Mus musculus: one gene and its partner. The protein of the gene in region 1 purifies or fractionates together with the protein of each later gene. This does not show direct contact. Links are inferred from orthologs where the notes say so. Each region holds a gene or a part of one and is shown on either strand. Other genes may lie near its edges. The genes, in order: Sumo1 and Mitf.

Region 1 (4,450 bases):
AGATCTAATACCCTATTCTGGAGCATTTGAAGACAGCTACAGTGTACTTACAAATAATAATAAATAAGTCTTTGAGTCAGAGTGAGCAGGGACTGAGAGAGCAGGGTTGACTGGAGTGAGCGGAGCTGACTGGAGCAAGCAGAGATCCTAAATTCAATTCCCAACAACCACATGAAGGCTTGCAACCATCTGCAACATCTACAGTGTACTCATATACATAAAATAAATAAATAAATCTTAAAAAAAAAACCCTAAAACAGTCTTACATAAACACCGTTGAAACATTTTAATTTTGTATATGCAGTGAAATAGGGATTTAAATTCTTTCTCCTTTCGCATGTGAATGTTCAGTATTTTCATTAGTAATTATATTGTACCTACTAATTTTTAATTTTGTATGGGTGTTTTTGTCTGAATGTGTTTATGAACCGCATTCAGGCTTTGGCTTGGTGCTGAAAAAAGTATCTGATTCTTGGGACTAGAGTTACAGGCAGTTTTGAATGCATGCATGGGTGCTGGGACTCAGACTTGAGTCCTCTGGAAGAGTAGCCAGTGCTCTTTGACTACTGGGTCATTTATAGTTGGCTCATTACTATTTACAGAAAAGATTATTTTACTAATGTCTTGTTCTGTGAAGGGTTTTTGATTTAAGTTTTCATTTTTCCCCCTTTACTTATTATAACCTTAATCCTCCTTGAATGCTTGTGCAAGGTCACTGTATTCAAAGGAAGCAGTTTAGGTCTTTCTATGACACAAGGCAACTAGTTTATGCGTTGGAAGGCGCTCCTGCCTACAACTTCAAAACTTTCAGTAGCATTTTAGTTGTCTGTAGCCACCAAGACTTTGTTCTAGCTGGGGGTGTGGTGGCACTTGGGAGGCAGAGGCAAGAGGATCTCTACGAGTTGGAGGCCAGTCTGGTTGACATTGCAATGTTCTATAATAGCCAAGGCTATTAGTGAGACCCTGCCTCAAAACACAAGAACAAAAGATGTGTCCTGAAGGGTCGTCTTTTTGTGCCCCCTCATCTCCCCCGCCCCCAACAGGGTTCTATGTCCTGTCCTGGAACTCACTTTGTAGATGAAGATGGCCACGAACTCACAGAGATCCGGTAGCCTCTGCCTCTATCACCCGGAGTCACGAATGTGGCAACAGCAAGCATGAGGGGCCTATAAAAATACTATACGGGTAATTCACTATATTCAGTGAGGGTTGGTCCGGGCCTCAGAAGCGCGCAAGTCGTCCCACCGGGAGGAGCCTAAGCAGTCAGTTTGACCCCAGACATTCGGCCTGCAGGCAAAGCGCTGGTCTCCCTGAGGGCTGCGGCAGCGGGCCTGATTCTCCCTCCCTCCGAAGTCCTAGCAGTTCTCTTGCTCCAGGCAAGTAGTTTACAACCTGGAGGATTTTAGCCCCCGGCCTTCCTTACGGCGTTTTCCCGCTTCCTTTTCCCGTCTTCGCTAACTCGCCTCTGCGCGCAGCGGAAGTGACGCAAGACGTAGAGGAAGTCCCTGCAGCCGCGGTGTTGTGCTGTAGAGAAGGGACGGATTTGTAAACCTCAGAGTGAGGTTCTGCCTGCCGGAGGCCGCAGTGGTGCGGAGACCCCCGGGTGAATCCACGTCACCATGTCTGACCAGGTACCGGGCCGGGGCCTTAGGGCTCAGGGCCGTCGGCCGCGGGCTGGGGCCCTGGACTGAGGCGCGGGGGAGGGGGCGGCTGGAGAAGGGGGCTGCCCGTGGGGAGGGGGCCGCGAGGGACGCGGGGCGCCTGGCGGAGTCGGGCCAGGCCGCCTGGGACCCCGGGGCTCTGGGTTCCACGCGCCCTCCGCGCCCCTCTCCGAGGCCCCTACCCCCGCGCCACCCGGCGCCGGGGCTCTCTCGACGGCGCCCAGGTTTCTCGCGGGCTCGCAGGGGGCCCAGGCCCGCTCCCTTGTCCCCGAGAGCAAGCTGAGGGGAAAACGACCGTTTCCCTTCGGACGACGGATGGCAGAAACCAGGCCCTAGGCCCAGTTATGTAACGGGAGGGAAATCCCCGACTGGGAGGCTAGGTGGCCCTGAAAAGCAGCTCGACTCCACTTTGGGTTCTTGGTCCCGGAGAGTGGGGGGCGGCCGGGGAGCCGTGTCTGAGGTGACTGGGAGCCCAGAGGACGCTGCTTTTCCGTTGTGTTTGCCTGGAGGGTCCGTCCATCTCTGCACACCTCAGTCTTTTTTTTTTTTTTTTCCTTCCGGGGGTGCGGAACGGTCCGCTCTTTCGCTGTACTTTCCATTTCTTACTCGGGATTGGTCCATCAACTCTCCAGTTCTCAGAGCGCTCAGAATAACCGAGAAACAGCAAACTGTGTATGGAGTGCCACCACCAACAAGCCATTTCGTCTGGGCTTTAACCAGCAGATGCTTGGCACTTTAAAAAAAAATATAGCACGTTTTTTGTTCTTTGATAATCAGATGACGCATTTAGATTATATGCACCCCCAAACCTCTCTTCCAGAAGTTTCTGAACTAATTTTCGAAGAAATAGAGAAAAAAAAAGTTATCCGTGTTGTACAATTGCAGAATATTTGCAGAAAGCTGTCAATTAGTAGTAAAACAGTGTGTCTCGGTTTTGGAATCAAGGATTTGCATGGTATTTGCCTTCAAATAGGAGTGACTCCTTGCCACCTAAATTTTTCTTCATCCTATTTTAGTTACTACCTTTGTGGCTAGTTTTTATATACATAAGGTTTTGGTCTGACTTTGCTTTGGTTTGCTCAGATGACTTAATTTTCAGAGTATTTTTTTTTTAACTTTTTCTTCTTTTGTGATAATTATTCAGTAAACTTTTTCATTCAACTTCACAATGTAGTTGGACTTTTTTAAAAAAAAAATTTGTTGTTGTTGTTTGAGACACGGATTTTCTGTGTAGCCTTGGCTTTCTAGGAACACTCTGTAGACCAGGCTGGCCTCCAATTTATAGAGATCGGCCTGTTTCTGTCTCCTGAGTGCTGGGATAAAAGGCTTGTGCCACCACAGACTGGCCAGGGTGGTTCTATTTTTATAGCCTATCTACACTGTAGACTAATTGTGGCATGGATTTACTTATTAATAATCTGAATTAATCCTCTTTTGGGATAGAAATGACTTTATGAATAATTTGTTTATGACAGTTGTTTACTTAGTTACCAGCTCAGAAAGATCAGCTGTAAATGCTTAAGTCCTGGAACTCTGTAGACCAGGCTGGCCTTGAACTCAGAAATCCCCCACTACCTCCCAAGTGCTGGGATTAAAGGCGTTGCCACCACGCCTGGCCTTTGTTTTTTCTTTTCTTTCTTTCTTTTTTTTTTTTTTTTTTTTCTTTTTTTTTTGGGTTAATGCTTAAGTTTCATCAGCCTTCTATTTTGGAAGAGCTAGAAAGCATGTTAGCCTGAAGAGAGGGCAACACACAGAAAGAGTTCTAAGTTTTAGGATTAGTTTTGCTCTAGTTTGAACTCACATTATATAAGGATATGGAGAAAGAAAGGAGGACCCAAGGGCACACACAGGGTTTCAGGGGATCGCAAAGTCACACTGTTGCTTGCTGTAGCACTCACCTCACTGGTCACCGGGGTTATTAGGTGTTGGACCTAGGGCCTCCCACATGTGCTTGCCAGGCAAGTGCTACAGCCTCATTTTTTCTTTTACTTTGTTTCACTAAGTTGCCTAGGTTGGACTGTAGCACAGCTTGCCTTTGAACTTGAACCTGGACTTCTCTCAGCCTTGCAGAGTAGCTGGGATTACAGAGTTATACTGTCACGCCTAGATGGTGTGTGTGTATGTATGTGTGTGTGTCTGTTTTTCTCATTCATGGATATTCAGTGAAGTTTTTAAGAAACATGACAGAAAAATGGAGCAAATCTTTTTTGTAGCCTTACAGCTTCTCACAGTTTCTTCTGTGTCTATCTCCTGAGTGCTGGGATTAAAGATGTCTACCACCACACCTGGCAAAACAAGTCTTTTTAATTGAGCTACACATTAAAGCAATTTGCATATGAAATAGTGCTGCTACTCTTAGAAATTTTGTCTTTAAAAAAAGTAATAAAAATGTATGCTAACGTTTTTTAGGGGTTATTTATTGATTCAAGTTAAGGGTTTCTCTGTAGCCTTAGTTGTCCTGGAACTTGCTCTATAGATCAGCTTGTCCTCAGATCTGCCGGCCTCTTACTCCCAGAATGTATATACCACCATGGCTCAGTTGATAGGTTTTTATTTTTTTTAATTTATTGTATATATGAGTACATTGTAGCTGTGTTCAGACACAACAGAAGAAGACATCAGATTTCATTACAGAGGGGTATGAGCCACCATGTGGTTGCTGGAATTAGAACTCAGGACCTCTGTAGAGCCGTCAGTGCTGAAAGTGGGTCCTATATTAGTCAAATCCCAAAGGTCACCCCAGATTCATGGAAAGACCTACCTCATTTCTAAATAGGAGTTAAAAAGAA
Region 2 (3,814 bases), on another chromosome or scaffold:
GAACACTATGGTACAATTATCTTTTCATGCACATTTGCATTTCTATTCTAGGAAAAGAGTCACACACTTAAGGGAGTTGAAAGAATGGGAACTTATTTTCCCTACCCCCTTAAGTAATAAAGCTACAAGACTGGATAGCATCATCAGTGTTTCCAAAGATTTGCATTACCCAACATGCATGGGAACCGCGCACTTGACGAATCTCACCAAGGCCATCCATTCATACATCTGACAATCACTGCTCTTGGATCTCTCCATCACCCATCACCAATTCACATTTGACATTTAAACACTTTAAAAAAAAAAAACCCTCCTGAGAAAGGTTTCCTGATGAAAGAATTTGGCACTGTCAGTAAAATATATTTCATATTAAAAATATCTGAAGGGAAATTGGAAGCTCTTAGAATGTCTACAGAGGCACCACGCTACGTCTTCCTTCTTCACTCCAGATTCCATCTTGAAACTTTCTCCTAGTTACAGTTCAGTCAGTGCTGGTCCAAAAGAGACTGCTGAGATTTTTAAGGCACTTCATTCTGAAAGGGTATGCTTTATGCCACACAGGATTCAATCGTAGGCTGCTACTGAGAAATTCCATTAGGCAGCCTGGCTTGTACCAGTATGTATCACCTGCACAAAACATCTAGACTTGATACATGTAACTCTACAGATATTGCATAGGGTTATGCAAGTAAGCAATGCACAGACACTAACTTTACAATGTTGCCACTTGGTCAAAATGTTGTTATCAAGTAATCTGCCAATACAGTGTTTCTCTTTTTAAAAAGAATCTAGCCGGTGTGTTGAAATAAATCCTAATTGAATTGACCATCATGGGCATGGTAAATGCTATGGCTATCAATCTTCAAGAATATAGTTATTTTAATACCCTAGAAATACATATGTAAGTATTTTTTTCTAGAAAGCCTGGTTGTTAACCTATTAATACTACACCTTAAATGTGTTGAAAAACAGTTTCAAGTGATAGTGGAATATACAAAATATTTGCAAAGCTCTCTTTGAACACAAGACCTTGCATAAAAGTAGTCTTTCTTGGGTGTACAAAGAATGCAGAGAACACCAATGAGTTGTAAAAGTATTGAAAACTCACTGTTTTAAGATGCATATTCTTACAAATTAATACAAACACTGAAAAAAATGATGATAATAAAGAATCTATACAATTAAAATGGCTAAAACATAATTTAAAAATAAAAATAGTAAAGCCAATTAGAAATGTGCCCAGTTCAGTTGTCTTTATCAAAAGCAAAAATGGAAAAAGAAAAAAAAAAAAAGAAAAAAAAGTGAAACAAACATCCGGTGTCCTCAGAGAGGACATTCATTTCCATTTCAAAAAAACCTTATGAAAAATTTAATCACACTTATGAGGAAAACTATAACTGTGCCCAATAAAAGCCAGCAGGTCAGATCCTATGTTTCATGCCTTGGTCTAATAACTTCTTTCAGTTTGGGTTAGCATAAGTTACATTTTCTAGCCAGACAATCCTCATGAAAATGACTGCTAGATTTGTCTGTATGTAATATATTCTTCTTTACGCAGTTTTCAGTACAAAGACATAGAAACGCTGGAAGGAAGGGAGGGCACTGTGTCTTTAAGGCAGTACCAGGAAATTGCCGCATTTAGAAAGCGAGAAAGTCTTGGATGTCTTTCCCACCATCTTTCTTCCTCCTCTTCCTCCTCCTCTTCCTCTTCCTCCTCTTCTCCTTCTTCTATCATAATCATCATCTTCTTTGTTTTCTTCTTTTGGTTGCTTTACATTCGTGTAATTAAACTTTACATGTTAATTTCAAAGGAGGTCACAGACAGACAAAGCTCACACCAAGTTTTCCCCTGAATGAAAACGGACAGACACTTACTTCTCTGAAGCAAAAAAATCCCCTTGCTCAGAAAGCTCACACTTGGAGAAATCAGTTCACAGATACTGCACGCTGAAGGTACAATACTTAGGAGGCCTTTGTAGTTGTAAAATAGAATATACAAGTCTGGCTCACAAAATTCTAAAAATAAAATATATCCTGGGCTACTGATAAAGCACGAAAATTTCATATTAAAGGAAAATTATCAAGAAAACCTCTTCAGGTAAATTATAAAGTCTCCTGAAGAAGAGAGGGAGCGGTCCGTGCAGAGGCAGAGCAAGGCAGGCTCGCTAACACGCATGCTCCGTTTCTTCTGCGCTCATACTGCTCCTCCGGCTGCTTGTTTTTGAAGCTCCTGGCGACACTGATGACAGCAGTGGGTCGGTGACTCCAACAGGTGAGAGGGCATCGTCCATCAGGATGTCTTCCAAGTTGGAGCCCATCTTCCTGGGGATGCTGTAGGCCGGGCTGCTCTCCGGCATGGTGCCGAGGTTGTTGGTAAAGGTGATGGTACCGTCCGTGAGATCCAGAGTTGTCGTACATGTCAGGTCTGCCTGGTGCTGTACAAGTTCCTGGCTGCAGTTCTCAAGAACTGGTTCTTGCTTGATGATCCGATTCACCAGATCAGGCGAGCAGAGACCGGTGGATGGGATAAGGGAAAGTCCATGCGCTCTAGCCTGCATCTCCAGCTCCTACGATAAAGTCAGAGTCAGACAGTTAAGGAAGAAACTGTGCAAGCAGTGTTAGGTGCGGTTACCCAAATGCATGGAATATATATCCCCATTAGTGTCTCTACCTAAGGTTTTGGAGGACAAGGAGAAACCAGTTCTAACAAAGGGGCCACTGAGGTGTCCATTTTGATGATCCGGGGGACTGCATGTTGGATGACATGTAGTGACATGTGGAGCTCTCTAGCGCTTATATTCTACTGTACTGTGAACCTGAGACTGCTTTTAAAGACTGAAGTCTATTTTCTATTTTTAAGACATCAGACCTGGGGACAACTATAAACTGTCAAAGCAAAGCTTGCTACTTTTCAAAAATAAATTCTGCATTTCCCAAAGACAGGTGGTATTAGGAGTATAGGAAATATCCTTTTAGATGGTATATATTTTTATTATGAATTACAAATAGAAACAGTCTTACAGATATTAAGGATTAAGACAAGGATAAGCACTCAAGTCAGACTGGCCAACATCAAAAAACAAAACAAAACAAAAACCACCTACAGCAAATGCTGGCAAAGGTGCTTGCTGTGAGGAGACAGGGACCCTCACCACACTGGTGAGGAAATGTGAACTGGTACAGACACCACTGACAGCCAGTGTGGGGCTTCTTCAAAAGACCAGAAACAAAATTACCCCATGGCTCCCCCCATTCTACCCCTGGGTAGTTTCTTGAAGGGCTTAGCGAACATAGAGATGCTTGCATGTCCACGTCTCTGTGCCTTCGCTGATCACAATGGCCAGGGTGCAGTCAACCTAGATGCTCCCTATCAACAGATGAGCTGATAGGGAAACTATGAGATGCCTACACAAAAGAGCTGTATTCAGGGTCAAAGAAACCCTGAAATTGTTTGCAGGGAAATAAATGCAACTGGAGGTCACTGAGTGAAATAGAATAAGCCCGACCATGGCAAATACTGTTCTCTCTCATATGTGGACTCTTTAAAGCCTGTATGTATGCATAAGACATGACAGTAGAGGGGACTCTACAGGGAAGGATAAAGAGGGCCAACGGAAGGAAACTGGGTGGGACAAGACAGTAGTGGGGGATGGTAGATACGTGAGCATGAAAATGTCACGGGGAAGCCCATATTTTTGTACAAGGCACGTATGCTAATAAAAAATACAAAATGGGAGCTAACAGAAATATAATGCTGAGCAATGTGTAATATGTTTGGGAGATATTTTAAGATTTCAAGGGAAATGGTGATGGT

What was found.
Region 2: the proteins of Sumo1 (region 1) and Mitf purify together in Homo sapiens (affinity purification with western blotting; 3 studies listed by BioGRID and IntAct, with this or other methods). This does not show direct contact. The link is inferred for Mus musculus from reciprocal best matches to the Homo sapiens genes SUMO1 and MITF.

What each region holds. Positions count from the first base shown.
Region 1 is NC_000067.6:59,667,861-59,672,310, reverse strand, and holds the start of Sumo1 (small ubiquitin-related modifier 1), read left to right. Parts: upstream 1-1,476; 5' UTR 1,477-1,619; coding exon 1,620-1,631; intron 1,632-4,450. UniProt on the Homo sapiens protein: Ubiquitin-like protein that can be covalently attached to proteins as a monomer or a lysine-linked polymer.
Region 2 is NC_000072.6:98,016,527-98,020,340, reverse strand, and holds part of Mitf (microphthalmia-associated transcription factor), read right to left. Parts: intron 2,568-3,814; coding exon 2,166-2,567; 3' UTR 1-2,165. UniProt on the Homo sapiens protein: Transcription factor that acts as a master regulator of melanocyte survival and differentiation as well as melanosome biogenesis.